Linked DNA regions of Saccharomyces cerevisiae S288C. The protein of the gene in region 1 interacts with the protein of each later gene in a biochemical or structural test. Each region holds a gene or a part of one and is shown on either strand. Other genes may lie near its edges.

Region 1 (8,638 bases):
CCGCCCGGAGAGTATGTTACTGTGAGATACAAATTTACAAATGACCCAAAAAACTCTATCTTTAAGGCACAAAACCTGGCTGTCGTAGATGAAGATGAGTTTGATTTGATTTTCGATAACAGAGAGGAGGAAGCTGATAACTTCTACTGGAGGATTACACCTTTGCCAATCAGTGATGAATTAAGAAACCTTCAAAGACAAGCTTTTTCTGGTTTGCTATGGACTAAACAGTTCTACAATTTTACATATGATGCTTGGTATAATGGTGACGCCAATGTTAAGCCTCGCCCTCCCCCTAATAGAGCTAATGGCAGGAACAAGAACTGGAAGCACCTTTACATCGAAGATATCTTATCAATGCCCGACAAATGGGAGTATCCATTTTTTGCTTCATGGGATACTGCGTTTCACTGCATTCCTTTAGCTATGATTGATCCAGAATTTGCAAAACGGCAATTGGATTTATTAACCAGAGAGTGGTACATGCATCCTAACGGTCAAATTCCGGCATACGAATGGAACTTCAATGACGTAAATCCACCAGTCCATGCATGGGCTGTGTATCGTGTTTTCAAGATCGAAAGAAACATGTACAACCGTGAAGATCGTACATTTTTAGAACGAGTTTTCCAGAAGCTTTTGTTAAATTTTACATGGTGGGTCAACAGAAAGGATACTGAAGGTAAAAATGTTTTTGAGGGCGGATTTTTGGGTCTTGATAATATTGGCGTTTTCAACAGATCAGAACCACTACCCACTGGCGGTACGCTTGAACAGGCTGATTCTACAGGTTGGATGGCCTTTTTCAGCCTTCAAATGCTAAATATTGCATTAGAGCTCGCCAAAGAAAACCCGGTTTATGAAGATATTGCCTCTAAATTTTTTGAACATTTTATCTTAATCAGTGACTCTATGTCCTTTGAATACGCTACTGATATTACGGGAGAGAAATGTAAAGAAGTTATCAAACAAAACCTATGGAATGAAGCAGACAAATTTTATTACGATGCCATCTCTTGGGGTGACCACAAGGTGCAACTACCAATAAGATCTCTCGTGGGATTGATCCCACTATATGCTTCTATGACTTTAGAGCCTAGTATCATAAAACAATTCCGCGGTTTCAAGAAGAGGGTTGATTGGTTTGTGAACAACCGTCCAGAAATCTTTGATAGAAACATTGCGTCCATGTCAAAAAAAGGAGTGGGAGAAAGACTACTTTTATCCCTAGTTACTAAGGAAAGATTAACAGCCATACTGTCACGTTTGCTGGATGAAACTGAGTTTTTGTCACCATATGGTATTAGATCTCTTTCCAAATATCATGAGAAGCACCCATTCGAAATGAATGTAAATGGTGTCGAATATATGGTCAAATATTTGCCGGGCGAATCAGACTCGGGTATGTTCGGCGGTAATTCTAACTGGAGAGGGCCCATTTGGTTTCCTACCAGCTTTTTAATAATGGAAGCATTACAAAGGTTTTACCTGTACTACGGTTCCGACTTCAAAGTAGAGTGTCCCGTAGGTTCAGGAGATTATTTGAATCTTGCTGAAGTTGCCGAAGAACTTGGATATCGTATGATTCACTTATTTGTTCCAGACGAAAACGGGGAGCGCGCCATTCATTATGGTGATCACTCTAAGTTTCTGTCTTCTGATCCATATTTCAGGGATTATGTGCCATTTTTTGAATACTTTGACGGTGATACTGGAAGAGGGCTTGGCGCTTCACACCAATGTGGTTGGACTGCTCTTGTGGCCAAATGGATAAGTGATGTAGGTATATCCTGTGTAAGACTACCTCGTACGCCAAGATCATCTGTGGCAACGACCGCTTCAACAGAGAGCTCTGAGCAAGGTCCCAAAATGAAGAGAATGGCAAGACGTAAGAGTGCAAAGTCTTTGGTAAACTACACTGCCACCATTTTGGACTTAACCGAAGAAGAAAAGCGCCATCATAGGATAGGGGGCACCCATTCTGGGTTGACACCACAAAGCAGCATTTCAAGTGACAAGGCTAGACATTTGATGGAGGAAATGAATGAAGAGGAAGGTATTCACGAAACTGTGGTACCTGAAGATCGTCACAACTTTGAAACCAAGCTTATAGGCAAGCTAAAAGATAAGGTGAAAAATATGAAAGTAACTGACAAGGCTAAAGATGAGGATATAGACCCAATGGACCCAATGAGTCCGTTGAATAAGGATGTGTCTTGATTAACTGCGGTGAACCTTCAATATCTGTACGTTTGAAAAATATTTCCAACGATATACCTCTATATTTTGATCTATAGAATATTTAATTGCAGTAGTTTTTTATCAGTAAGGTAGCGTTGATATTACTAGTGAAGGTAACTCTATAGTTCCTTGACATGTTCTTTAGATTCTAGAGGTTTTTTATTGAATTTGTTTTCCCACCTTATTTAAACTTTGAGAACAAAACTAGCAAAATCAATAATATAAGGACTGCGATAATGGCATAGCTTATGAATTTATTAGCAACTAGCCTTCTAGTCATTGTTTTTAGTGTCTTTATACTTTTATCCACATATGAATCCGCTTGAAACAAGGTCTGTCTTGCATTTTCCAAAGTTTCTCTCTGTGACCTTAAATCCATCATTATTTGTGACCCTATTCCTTCAGTTTCATTTGCTATTCTACTGGCATCTTTTAGTCTATCTCCCGATTTCTGTAAGATTGCATGGTTGCTCAACAACTGTTGCCTTTGGTCATCGTCAATATTAGATGCGTTAAGATCTCCAAAAAGTCTATCACGATCGCCTGAGTCTACTAAGGATTGCAGTGGTCGTTTGATATCGCTCTGTATAGTCTTCTTCCATTCTCTTAACTTCGCCTTGTACGTAGCACGTTCTGAGGCATCGCCTATGCTGTTATTAACTTCTACATCCATCTGATCTAGCAGGTCAAACAACTCATCTTGTTGCTGTTCTACGTGCTTCAGTGTAGTATTTCTCTGTGATAACGGTTGTGAGGGGGCCTCTGCTAAGCTCGCTTTGGCTTGTTCTAAGGTTGTTTTGAAGTCAGATTCGTATGATATTAATAGGGAACTCATAGTAAGCCATGCAGCAATGTAAAGAGTGCGGTTGATTCGTTTTATACAACTTAATGTAAAGCTTTACACTTTTCCAAGAATAGTAATTGCCCTATATAGCACGACTACTCCACTCCTAACTTTCATTGAAAATTAGACAGTCATGTGATCAGTAATATCGTCCATAGTGATATTTGTTTGTTTACCATTTTTGTTCTTATTTACTCTCTAATATGATTCTAGTATATGAAAGATACCACTGTCGTAGCTCGTATCAAAATAAAACTAGTCAGTCGTTGACCATTGAGCATATCGTCCGAGAATAAGGCTTTACTGTATTATTTTTTGATATCCACACGTTATTGAGCTCATTCACTGATCGACACATTTAGGCGGCTTTTCCGTTTGGCTGAAGCAACTTTGAAACACAACTACGACATTATAATTAAGCGCCTAAATAAGTGAATTTTGTGCCATAGGGTTGGACCGTGTATATATAAGAGCTATTCACTATTTTAATATTTGTTTTGGCATTTGAAACTCGTTGACATAAGCTTTATTATTAGGATGAATAACTCCAAAATTCCTAAACTTTCCTTTCATAGTGATCCAAACAACGTCACTCGAGACTTTCCAAAGACAAAACGACAGAAGGTTCAGAAAAGAGAAATGGATATGATACTAACTCCTAATAACAACAAGCTAAATATATTGCACAGCTCTGGATCTGGTATACGGCGCTGCTACACTGATGACACCTCCGCTACGTATACTAAGAAACTAACCTTTGGGGGGGACCCCAAGATTATTGAAAGGGTTAAGAACAATGAACGTAAGGTTAGAAAAGACATAGATTCACTACTGAATGCTATTTCTGAAATTGAAAAGGAATCTGTTCGTATTCATGCCAGGGAACTACCTGCAATAACATTAGAATTAGATGCAAAAGTCAAAGCGTGCAGGGAGCTACAAAATGAGATTGATGGACTATCAACGGAGATGGACTTGAAGGATAATCAATGTGATCTTCAAAGAAAGAATGTTGAGCTATCATCAAAAAATATAGTGTCTATGCATGCAGTAAAAGTACAAGAGTTCGAAAACGATTTAGAGGAAGAGCTATCGAATGCCAAAAGGGAGTGGACGTATAAATTAATGGAAGTAGAAAATTTGAAACCTGACGAAAGGTTAACTGACGAAATGCGACAGCTTAAAACAGAATTCGAGGAGGTCAATAGGAAACTATTCATTCTACAGAATGAAAATGAGAACGAGTGTAAAAACTACAAAAAAGAATTGGACAAGAAATTCGAGATATTCAAGAAAGTTAAGAACGATGCTAGAATTGAATTAGATGGGGAGCAAGAAAGACTTTCGAAAGTTTTAAAAGACCTACAAGACACCCATGGTGAACTGAAAGAAAATATTAAGACGTGTAGAGATGAGTTTAACGATTTTGAAAAAAGGATTGGAGAGGCAGAAGTGAACTTCCATAGCATGGAACTTGCCGTTGTTCCTCTCAAAAAGAAGCTTGCTTCTACATCACAAGCATTGACGCAAGTGCAGGAGGAGAAGAAGCAAGTCGAAGGAGAAGCAAACAATTGGAAGAAGAAGTACGTTAATGAACTAGAAAAGGTTCAACAGGAATTATACACACGACAAAATCTGGCCACTTCAATTGAAGAAATCAAAGGATACACCCGATGCTTTGCGTATGCCAATGAACGACAAATGCCTGATGAATTCCATATCAACTATGTGGATCGGTGCATTTGCGAGAATAGTGGAGAAAAACGGGTACAAGTATTTGATAGAGTAGTTCTCGAAGAAATCCATAAGGATCACAAACGCTTATATAACGAATGCATTCCGTTCCTGGAAAAATACATCAGCAAGTTAATTAACTGCAGCATTATAGTGGTTTCGCAGCAACCCACAGCACCAATGAAAAAGACTTTGCTAAAACAGTTAATTGAGCAGTACGGTGAGAATTATAAGATGACATTGAACATTTTGCATCTTGACGGAAGTATTAAACACAGTGACGTTGGATTAGATAACCCAACAGAAATTAGAGATCTGTCACAAGATGAAGAATGCATGAACATTTTAACTTTAGATACCAAGTTGGGAAAAGATGAAGAGTCCCATTCAATGAATATATATATCGGTAGTATGTCCACGGTACAGCTGAATAGAGAGCTTGATGATGCTCCCTCAGTCCTTTCGCATATTCTCACTAAAACAAAGCAGTGCTTTGTCTTCAAGATTAACGCTGGTGAAAACATCGAGAAGGCTCTAGCCTTAGCGGGAAAGCTGAAAAGAACAATAACATTACCTCAGCTAGATTAAGAAGGCCAGATCTTGTGCGCTACAATCACTTCGTCTCGTTCCCTTACATAAAAAACTTACGTAGCTACATTGTCGTGCGTGGCATCAACCTAATTATCCTAGCAAAATAAAAGAGAATGTTACGGGACTAACAGGCGGATGTAAATTACTCACTTAAACGCAGCCAAACATCATCGAGAACTTAGGGTAGCGTGCCACAAAATTTGCATGAATAAACTTTTGTTTTCCTAATTCGACAGCATTCCCTTGTTCGCAACACTTCACTGATAGGAAATCGAATAGCGCACACTCTCTTCTGGGACATACCCCAATGCGGTAAAGCCACGAAAACACCGCGCGTAAAGGGGTAAACAAGTCCATTCCTACAACCTCTTGGAGAAATTCTTTACCTACTACAACCCCGCGCCTGATACTTTCAGTATTCATGACAACTCGAGCCAGATCCCGCTCGTGGGCGTGTTCATTCTGTGACGATCCACTAGCGACTTCTTTGTTCAGCCTGCAAGAGACGCGTTCAAGGAAGAATTCGCGATTTTACTTCTTCGAGGGAATCTCGCACCGCGTTAGTTAGTTTCCAACCTTGAAAGCATCGGAGACGCATTTTTGGCGATTTTGCTGGATTGAGCTGAATGGTGCCAGGTCGAGGCTGGGAGGGAGACTAACTCGAAAGTGACGAAGACTCGAAAATTAAAAAAAAAGATACTGCAGAAGGCAAGATTGAGAATGGAGTAAAGGCAGCGTGGGTCCCCTGTGGAAACCGCAGTTTTCCTGCGCCAAGTGGTACCGGTGCGAGTGCAGCAATTAATCTCTCGATATTTTCTTAGTATCTCTTTTTATATAAGAATATATTTTGGAATTGGTAATGCTTATCTTCAATAGTTTCTTAGTTGAATGCACACTTAAGAGCAAATTGGCCAAGGAGTTCTTCGTTCGCTTTAATTTATTTCCTGGTTATTGTCAATTTATTCATCCCATCTCCCCAGGATAGAAGAAATTAGTGTAATTTTGCTGACAATACATTTTAACGACGATAACAATAATAGCAATTAAATAAAATAGCACTACCACCACTCCACTGCTCGTTAGCTATTTCTGTAAAATAAATAAAAAGATCATGAACCACTCAGAAGTGAAAACTGGGTTAATTGTCACTGCAAAGCAGACATATTACCCAATTGAATTGTCCAATGCAGAACTACTAACTCATTACGAAACCATACAGGAATATCACGAGGAAATCTCTCAAAATGTGCTGGTCCAATCTTCCAAGACAAAACCAGACATAAAATTGATCGATCAGCAACCGGAGATGAATCCTCATCAAACTAGAGAAGCCATAGTAACATTTTTGTATCAACTTTCAGTGATGACTAGAGTAAGTAATGGTATCTTCTTCCACGCTGTCAGGTTCTACGATCGCTATTGCTCTAAGAGAGTAGTGTTAAAGGACCAAGCTAAACTAGTTGTAGGCACCTGCCTTTGGTTAGCGGCCAAAACTTGGGGAGGGTGCAACCATATTATAAACAACGTCTCCATCCCCACAGGTGGTAGGTTTTATGGTCCCAATCCTAGAGCTCGTATTCCACGCCTTTCTGAATTGGTTCATTATTGCGGCGGGTCCGATTTATTCGATGAATCAATGTTCATTCAAATGGAAAGACATATCTTGGATACTCTGAACTGGGACGTTTATGAGCCCATGATTAATGACTACATTTTAAACGTTGACGAAAATTGTTTGATACAATATGAACTTTACAAAAACCAGTTACAAAATAACAATAGCAACGGCAAAGAATGGTCCTGTAAGAGAAAGTCACAATCTTCTGACGACAGTGATGCCACAGTGGAAGAACATATCAGTAGTTCACCGCAAAGTACTGGACTAGATGGCGATACAACTACCATGGATGAAGATGAAGAACTAAATTCCAAAATTAAATTGATAAATTTGAAAAGATTCTTAATTGATCTGAGCTGTTGGCAATACAACTTGCTTAAATTCGAATTATACGAAATATGCAATGGTATGTTTTCTATAATAAACAAATTCACTAATCAAGATCAAGGCCCTTTTCTCTCTATGCCCATTGGTAATGATATAAACTCAAACACTCAAACGCAGGTATTCAGCATTATCATCAATGGCATAGTCAATTCTCCCCCATCTTTAGTCGAAGTTTATAAGGAGCAATATGGTATAGTACCTTTCATATTACAAGTAAAAGATTATAACTTGGAATTACAAAAGAAACTGCAACTGGCCTCTACAATAGACCTAACCAGAAAAATTGCTGTCAATTCTCGTTACTTTGACCAAAATGCCTCTTCATCATCAGTTTCTTCTCCAAGCACATATTCTTCGGGAACCAATTATACTCCAATGCGAAACTTCAGTGCACAATCAGACAACAGTGTTTTCAGTACTACCAACATTGACCATTCATCGCCGATCACCCCTCACATGTACACTTTTAATCAGTTTAAAAACGAAAGTGCTTGTGACAGTGCCATAAGCGTAAGCAGTCTACCTAATCAAACCCAAAATGGTAACATGCCATTATCAAGCAATTATCAGAATATGATGCTAGAAGAAAGGAATAAAGAGAATAGAATTCCCAACTCATCATCCGCTGAAATACCACAACGTGCCAAATTTATGACGACTGGTATATTCCAGAACACAGGAGAACTTACTAATAGAGCGTCTTCGATATCGCTATCGTTAAGGAACCACAATAGCTCTCAACTGTGACCATTTTCTCATCAAGCCTACATATATACTTAATTAATAACGGAATACTACGCTTTTCCATCGTAAGTAATAATGACATTCATACTTGACATTTTAATACCAGATAATTTTAATGCCCACCTACAAACATCTAGCCTCAATATTCTTCACCTGAAACCAGCTGAATAGTAATATACCAATATTCTTTCAACGATTGATATAATTATCATCATGAACGGAAAAGATGACGCGATTTTCCAGTATTTTTTTCTTCCTTTCGTTCTAACGTTTGCGGTAAGCAAAGGAGAGTAGTAATTAGCAAACAGTTATAAATAGAAAGCCTCTCTAAGATTATAGATATATAGTCATACTAAAGCTTGAGATCTCATCTTTTTCGAGAACCTACCGGCATATTAAACTGAAGTAAGACATCATTCTGAGGAAAGGATCGGTATTATAACCATTATTATTTGTTGCACTTTATTACTATGTGGTCG
Region 2 (3,395 bases), on another chromosome or scaffold:
TGAACAGAGAAGAAACTCCGTTGTTCAAGAAGGCAATGATTTCATCATCGCTGAATTTACCACTTGGCAAGGACAAAGCCACCAATGGAACTTCTTCCTCTTTGGAGAACTGGAGAATCTCTTCATTACTCAGGCTCGAGCCATCCAAAAGTACCTGACCAACAAGTGAAACGTATTCCTTCTTACTATTCCATGAGGCCAGATCATCAATTAACGGTAGAATCGGCAAAACCATTATTCAGAAAAAAAATTTTGTAAACTATTGTATTACTATTACACAGCGCAGTTGTGCTATGATATTTTTATGTATGTACAACACACATCGGAGGTGAATATAACGTTCCATATCTATTATATACACAGTATACTACTGTTCATAGTCATATCCTTTTCTTACCTTCTATATCGAATGACTGATAAAAAAACGTGAGTCACTGTGCATGGGTTTAGCAATTAATTAACTAATTTACCGGAGTCACTATTAGAGTCAGTTCGACTGCCTAGAAGAACTGCTGGTTGTCAGGATTGTGATGGGGGCATTCTGCTGTATTATGACCCATCGTATCGCAATGCTCACACCACTGTTGTCTTCCTGCCGTGGTATCGACTGGTGCAGGGGGGTCGAAAATTGGCAACGATTCCACGGCTGTTTGTGCTTGAGCCTGTTCCAACTGTTTGATTTTTTCATTAGCCTCTTCAAGTTTTTTCGTTAAGGATGCCACCTCTTCCGATGAGGAATCTTGTGGTTTTGTCAAAAATAGTTCCTTGCTCAAATTTTGGTATTCTTTACTGAGCGAATCGTTATGCATTTTCAATTGTTCGCGTTCTTTAGCCCACTTTGTCTTGTGTAACTCAAATTGGTCTTCTATGTTGCGTAATTGTTCCAGCTGTTTTTTCAGGAGTTCGACATCTTCGTTGGCACCAGTGGGTTGATTATGAGAAAGATTTCTCTCTTCGTTTTCTTTGATCTCTTCGTGTAGTTGGCTTACGACAGCAAGTAGCTGTTCATTCTCAGCGTCAAAAAACTGCTTTTGTTTGGCTTGCTGTCTGCGTTCGAGCTCCAATTGTTGCTTGAGATGGTCTATCTCTTTCTCTCTTTCTTGTATTGTGGCTTCATACCTATCAAAAGTCGGTTGCACTTCTTCGAGGACCATTCTTTGGTCATCGAGTAGCCTTTTGTAGTGTAGTTGTTTCCTTTGTAGCTTTTCGATGGTCAATTGGGCTTCTCGTAATTCAATTGTAACTTCGCTGCTATTGAGGTCATTCATGTGGCCATTGTCCGGTTTCCAATCGCTGGTGGTGTTGTGATTAGCCTTTCTGTCTGATGACAGGATAGAGTCGACCTCCATTCTGTCTTCTCTGTTATCGTAACCAAATTCTTGCTGTTGATGGTGATCCGATGCCTCCTGGTCCATCGACTGTTGATTACCGCTGTGCCGACTGGTGATCCGGAAACTTCTCATGGGTGTGGGGGATTTAGGATCATCCATGGGAGAGAACTGGTTAGTGAGCCTCACAATAGATCTGTTTTTGGGTATTGATAGCGGTTCCATTGTCGTTCTTCTCGAGGTTTGCGATATCGATGCCTTCTCGATCAATGATGCGACTTTTTGCAACTGAATAAATAGTCCACTTTGAGGATACTCCGTTTGAAAATACTTCTTCCCCATGAATGATCCATCGTTCTTACCAATGTTGGCAAGTAAGTCTACACCAGCAAACATTCCAGCTTTCGTGTCCACTGGACCCACGTATTTCAGTTGTCCGCGCCCCAAATTTGGGATTTGTATGAAACATCCTATCTTTCTTTGATATCTATCCATGGTATTTCAAACGCATACACAGCCAGCCACAGCTCAACGCCTTTTACCTTGTCCTTTGATGCCTGTCTCGTCCAAACGTTTTTGGTGTCTTGGCCAATTGCCCTTCTGAAAAATCTCACTGTCCGCAACTCATTAAAAGATACCCAAGCAAGCTACACGATAAAGAAAGGAGAAAGTTCATTAAAAGAACGTACATATAGCGATACAAACGTATAGCAAAGATCTGAAATGGATACGGATAAGTTAATCTCAGAGGCTGAGTCTCATTTTTCTCAAGGAAACCATGCAGAAGCTGTTGCGAAGTTGACATCCGCAGCTCAGTCGAACCCCAATGACGAGCAAATGTCAACTATTGAATCATTAATTCAAAAAATCGCAGGATACGTCATGGACAACCGTAGTGGTGGTAGTGACGCCTCGCAAGATCGTGCTGCTGGTGGTGGTTCATCTTTTATGAACACTTTAATGGCAGACTCTAAGGGTTCTTCCCAAACGCAACTAGGAAAACTAGCTTTGTTAGCCACAGTGATGACACACTCATCAAATAAAGGTTCTTCTAACAGAGGGTTTGACGTAGGGACTGTCATGTCAATGCTAAGTGGTTCTGGCGGCGGGAGCCAAAGTATGGGTGCTTCCGGCCTGGCTGCCTTGGCTTCTCAATTCTTTAAGTCAGGTAACAATTCCCAAGGTCAGGGACAAGGTCAAGGTCAAGGTCAAGGTCAAGGACAAGGTCAAGGTCAAGGTTCTTTTACTGCTTTGGCGTCTTTGGCTTCATCTTTCATGAATTCCAACAACAATAATCAGCAAGGTCAAAATCAAAGCTCCGGTGGTTCCTCCTTTGGAGCACTGGCTTCTATGGCAAGCTCTTTTATGCATTCCAATAATAATCAGAACTCCAACAATAGTCAACAGGGCTATAACCAATCCTATCAAAACGGTAACCAAAATAGTCAAGGTTACAATAATCAACAGTACCAAGGTGGCAACGGTGGTTACCAACAACAACAGGGACAATCTGGTGGTGCTTTTTCCTCATTGGCCTCCATGGCTCAATCTTACTTAGGTGGTGGACAAACTCAATCCAACCAACAGCAATACAATCAACAAGGCCAAAACAACCAGCAGCAATACCAGCAACAAGGCCAAAACTATCAGCATCAACAACAGGGTCAGCAGCAGCAACAAGGCCACTCCAGTTCATTCTCAGCTTTGGCTTCCATGGCAAGTTCCTACCTGGGCAATAACTCCAATTCAAATTCGAGTTATGGGGGCCAGCAACAGGCTAATGAGTATGGTAGACCGCAACAGAATGGTCAACAGCAATCCAATGAGTACGGAAGACCGCAATACGGCGGAAACCAGAACTCCAATGGACAGCACGAATCCTTCAATTTTTCTGGCAACTTTTCTCAACAGAACAATAACGGCAACCAGAACCGCTACTGAACGATGATTCAGTTCGCCTTCTATCCTTTGTTTACGTATTTGTTTATATATATAACTTTATTTTTTTTTATTAATTGGGCTGCAAGACAATTTTGTTGTCAGTGATGCCTCAATCCTTCTTTTGCT
Region 3 (4,222 bases), on another chromosome or scaffold:
GTTGAACCAAAGATCAATTTCTTTTTATGTATTGTAGAGAATTACAATTTGAAAAAGAGCTAAGGGAAATTGCTATATTCTAAAAGAAGTGCACAAGTACATTACCTTGAATTTTTATATTTATTCATGATATATTAATATTAATATATCGATGGTGAAGGACACCACACCTGTATTTCTTTGATTGAAAACAATTTTGTAACATTGGCTGCAAAAGTTTTTGCAATTGATATGAAACTATATGATAATATAGAATGCAAACAAAATTCAATTGCAAGGAGGAGGGAAGATATAGGGCCCCTTTCTCGCTTGACATAGACTAAATAATATACAGTTTTTATTTCTTTATTTTTTTTCTTCTTTTGACATGAACATGTTGATTATTCATTGTCGCTTCCTGCGGCAGCTTTAACTAAATCCAAAAATTTTTCTTTGGAAACTTCAGTGATCAATTCTTTCTTTTCTTCTTTATTCTTAATTTCGCTTAAATTTTCGGATACTTCCTTTTCTGTCTTGACTTGAGTTGCTAAAATGGCGTTAAATAATTTCACGGCACCTTTTTGAGCTATCTTTCTGAGCGCTGTCTCCTTCTCAAGGACTTTTCTAATATTTTCTGACCTGTCTTCTCCGGAAGCAATTGGAATAATATCCGTCTTTCTGGCTTTACCTAATAACTTTTTTTTTTCTGCCAACAATGCTTTTTTGGCCTTGTATTCTAGCTTTTCTGACTCACTTTGCTTCAGCACCTTTTTGTTTCTAGCCATGATGGGGTCCTTCCTGTCGTATGCTTTCAGATGTGATGATAAAATAGCATTTACTGCAGCAGAAAATCCAGTAGAACCATCATCATGTTTGCTGTTTTTCGATTTTTTCTTTCTTGGGAAGTCGTCGTCCTCTTCTTCTTCATCATCATCTTCTTCAGCATCACTTTGTTCGTTATCTATAATTTTAGATGATTCATCGCTAGAGCTATTCTGCTCGTCTTCTTCGGCTTCATCACCTTCCATTATTGTATCTTTTTCCGGCTCATTACTTAACTCTTGGTTGCCACTATTCCTTTTTTCACGCCCAAATTCTGCATTCTTTCTGGTTCTTTTCTTATCCTTAGTGTCTACTCTGTGCTTGGAGCCCATGATCAATTATGTACTGATTTTCCTTCGGCTTCTCTATCGCTTTATTCATAGCATCTGTTTATTACCTTTCCTTATATCTTATGGGCATCGAATCCTAGATTTTTTTCTTTCAAAATTTTCCAATAAGAGGGTAATGGAGATACACCAAAATGAATCTCAAACAAAATCAAAACAAACACTGTTTACAATTTGATGCGCCTCGAATCAAAATATGATGATGAGTATTACAGCTAAAAAAATTATCGAATATTATATAAGCATTAAAGCTATCAATTTTTCCGCTCTTTGTGTTTCTTATTATTCTATTTGAATATACCAGAACAACTATCCGGAGTCTTTGTTTAAAAAAGGTAGATTTTGAAATAAAGGACTTAGAGAAATTCTGGCAACTATTAAACTATGGAATCACTTCCACGTACTCCCACAAAAGGCAGATCTACGCAGCATCTCTCGACACCATCGCCGAAGAATGATATTTTAGCTATGAATGGCCACAAAAGAAGAAATACAACAACTCCACCGCCTAAGCACACTCTTCTGAAGCCGCAACGTACGGATATTCATAGACACTCATTAGCTAGTCAGAGTCGCATATCCATGTCACCTAATCGCGAGCTTTTAAAGAATTATAAAGGTACAGCAAATTTGATTTATGGAAACCAGAAAAGCAACTCCGGTGTAACTTCCTTTTATAAAGAAAATGTTAATGAACTCAATAGAACACAAGCAATCTTATTTGAGAAAAAGGCAACACTAGATTTACTCAAAGATGAACTAACAGAAACGAAAGAGAAAATCAATGCCGTTAATCTCAAATTTGAAACCCTTCGTGAAGAAAAGATAAAAATTGAACAGCAACTGAATTTGAAAAACAATGAACTTATCTCGATTAAAGAAGAATTTTTGTCAAAGAAGCAGTTCATGAATGAAGGACATGAAATACATTTAAAGCAGCTAGCGGCATCTAATAAAAAAGAGCTGAAACAAATGGAAAATGAATACAAAACAAAAATTGAGAAATTGAAATTTATGAAGATTAAACAGTTTGAAAATGAAAGAGCGTCGCTTTTAGATAAAATAGAAGAGGTAAGAAATAAAATCACCATGAACCCTTCCACTTTACAGGAAATGTTGAACGATGTTGAACAAAAGCATATGCTTGAAAAAGAAGAATGGCTTACAGAGTACCAATCGCAGTGGAAAAAGGATATAGAGCTGAATAATAAACATATGCAAGAAATCGAAAGCATAAAAAAGGAAATCGAAAATACATTAAAACCTGAGTTGGCAGAAAAAAAGAAGCTCTTAACAGAAAAGCGTAACGCGTATGAAGCTATCAAAGTAAAAGTTAAAGAAAAGGAAGAGGAAACTACAAGGCTGAGAGATGAGGTGGCATTAAAACAGAAAACTAATTTAGAAACTTTGGAAAAGATCAAAGAACTTGAGGAATATATAAAAGACACTGAACTGGGTATGAAGGAGTTGAATGAAATTCTGATTAAAGAGGAAACGGTTAGACGCACATTGCATAATGAGTTACAAGAGTTAAGAGGAAATATACGAGTTTATTGTAGGATTCGTCCAGCTCTAAAAAATTTGGAAAATTCTGATACTAGCCTTATTAATGTTAATGAATTTGATGACAATAGTGGTGTTCAATCTATGGAAGTGACGAAAATACAAAACACAGCGCAAGTGCATGAATTCAAATTTGATAAAATATTTGATCAACAGGATACAAATGTGGATGTTTTTAAAGAAGTTGGTCAGTTAGTGCAAAGTTCATTAGATGGATATAATGTTTGTATCTTCGCATACGGACAAACAGGATCTGGGAAAACTTTCACGATGTTAAATCCAGGTGATGGTATCATTCCGTCCACAATATCTCATATATTTAACTGGATCAATAAATTAAAGACAAAAGGATGGGATTATAAAGTTAACTGCGAATTCATTGAGATCTACAACGAGAACATCGTAGACTTATTGAGAAGTGATAATAATAATAAAGAAGACACAAGCATTGGCTTAAAGCACGAAATACGTCATGATCAGGAAACTAAGACTACCACGATAACGAATGTTACGAGTTGCAAGCTTGAGTCGGAAGAAATGGTGGAAATAATCCTGAAAAAAGCAAATAAATTAAGATCCACCGCTAGCACAGCATCAAATGAGCATTCCTCCCGTTCACACAGTATTTTCATAATTCATTTGTCTGGATCAAATGCAAAAACTGGAGCACACTCGTATGGCACACTAAATCTTGTTGATTTGGCCGGTTCCGAAAGAATAAATGTCTCTCAAGTTGTAGGGGATAGATTAAGAGAAACACAAAATATAAATAAATCTTTAAGTTGCTTAGGTGACGTTATTCATGCTTTAGGTCAGCCTGATAGTACCAAAAGACATATACCGTTCAGGAACTCAAAACTGACATACCTACTGCAATATTCACTCACTGGGGATTCGAAAACATTAATGTTTGTAAACATTTCACCAAGCTCCTCTCATATTAATGAGACTCTCAATTCGTTAAGATTTGCGTCTAAAGTGAATTCTACCAGATTGGTTAGTAGAAAATGAGGTCAAGGCCTTTTCTGGTCTTTTTCACTCCTTTGACAAATGACAGAGACTGTCCATACATTCATCACATGTAACTATATTATATATGAAACTCATTTTAATGCGCACAGATAAAAAGCAAAGTAAGTAATGAATATTTGTTATGTAAAAATGACCTCATACATGCTAGTATTTACACGAATTTAATTGCTTAAATTTCAATCATCCTTACCCTTTGGTTTACCCTCTGGAGGCAGAAACTTTTGCATCCTCCTTATTGCCCAATTTTCGCCAATGACTTTAACATCTGGGTCCGATTTACCTTCCGTGGTGTTGAACCGCTTCCACCATGAGGGGGATTTGAACCTAGGGTCTTCGCGTGGTAATTTGCGAACTTCATTTCTAATTTCAGCAACATGGGCTCTCAGTTCAGCGGCTAATCTGCTTCTTAAATCTTGCGCCTCTTTACCATATTTCAATTCGTCAGAGAGGTCGTTAGGATTTTTGGGATCATAGTATTT

The links. The genes of interacting proteins can lie anywhere in the genome.
Region 2: the proteins of CIK1 (region 1) and BIK1 form a complex in vitro, tested with the Saccharomyces cerevisiae proteins (one study listed by BioGRID).
Region 3: the proteins of CIK1 (region 1) and KAR3 form a complex in vitro, tested with the Saccharomyces cerevisiae proteins (5 studies listed by BioGRID, with this or other methods).

Annotation. Positions count from the first base shown.
Region 1 is NC_001145.3:656,123-664,760, forward strand, and holds CIK1 (Cik1p), read left to right. Parts: upstream 1-3,622; coding exon 3,623-5,407; downstream 5,408-8,638. Other genes in the region: YMR196W (uncharacterized protein), read left to right, coding at 1-2,220; v-SNARE protein VTI1, read right to left, coding at 2,423-3,076; cyclin CLN1, read left to right, coding at 6,522-8,162; ROT1 (Rot1p), read left to right, coding at 8,630-8,638. UniProt on the Saccharomyces cerevisiae protein: Together with the minus end-directed microtubule motor KAR3, involved in spindle midzone assembly, karyogamy (nuclear fusion) during mating, and with an essential function in meiosis I.
Region 2 is NC_001135.5:68,099-71,493, forward strand, and holds BIK1 (Bik1p), read right to left. Parts: upstream 1,824-3,395; coding exon 501-1,823; downstream 1-500. Other genes in the region: HIS4 (trifunctional histidinol dehydrogenase/phosphoribosyl-AMP cyclohydrolase/phosphoribosyl-ATP diphosphatase), read right to left, coding at 1-235; prion domain-containing protein RNQ1, read left to right, coding at 2,052-3,269. UniProt on the Saccharomyces cerevisiae protein: Required for nuclear fusion, chromosome disjunction, and nuclear segregation during mitosis. Probably required for the formation or stabilization of microtubules during mitosis and for spindle pole body fusion during conjugation.
Region 3 is NC_001148.4:815,234-819,455, reverse strand, and holds KAR3 (Kar3p), read left to right. Parts: upstream 1-1,532; coding exon 1,533-3,722; downstream 3,723-4,222. Other genes in the region: rRNA-processing protein RRP15, read right to left, coding at 381-1,133; TAZ1 (lysophosphatidylcholine acyltransferase), read right to left, coding at 3,920-4,222. UniProt on the Saccharomyces cerevisiae protein: Minus end-directed microtubule (MT) motor involved in spindle midzone assembly, poleward transport of newly captured kinetochores along the lateral side of MTs, karyogamy (nuclear fusion) during mating, and with an essential function in meiosis I.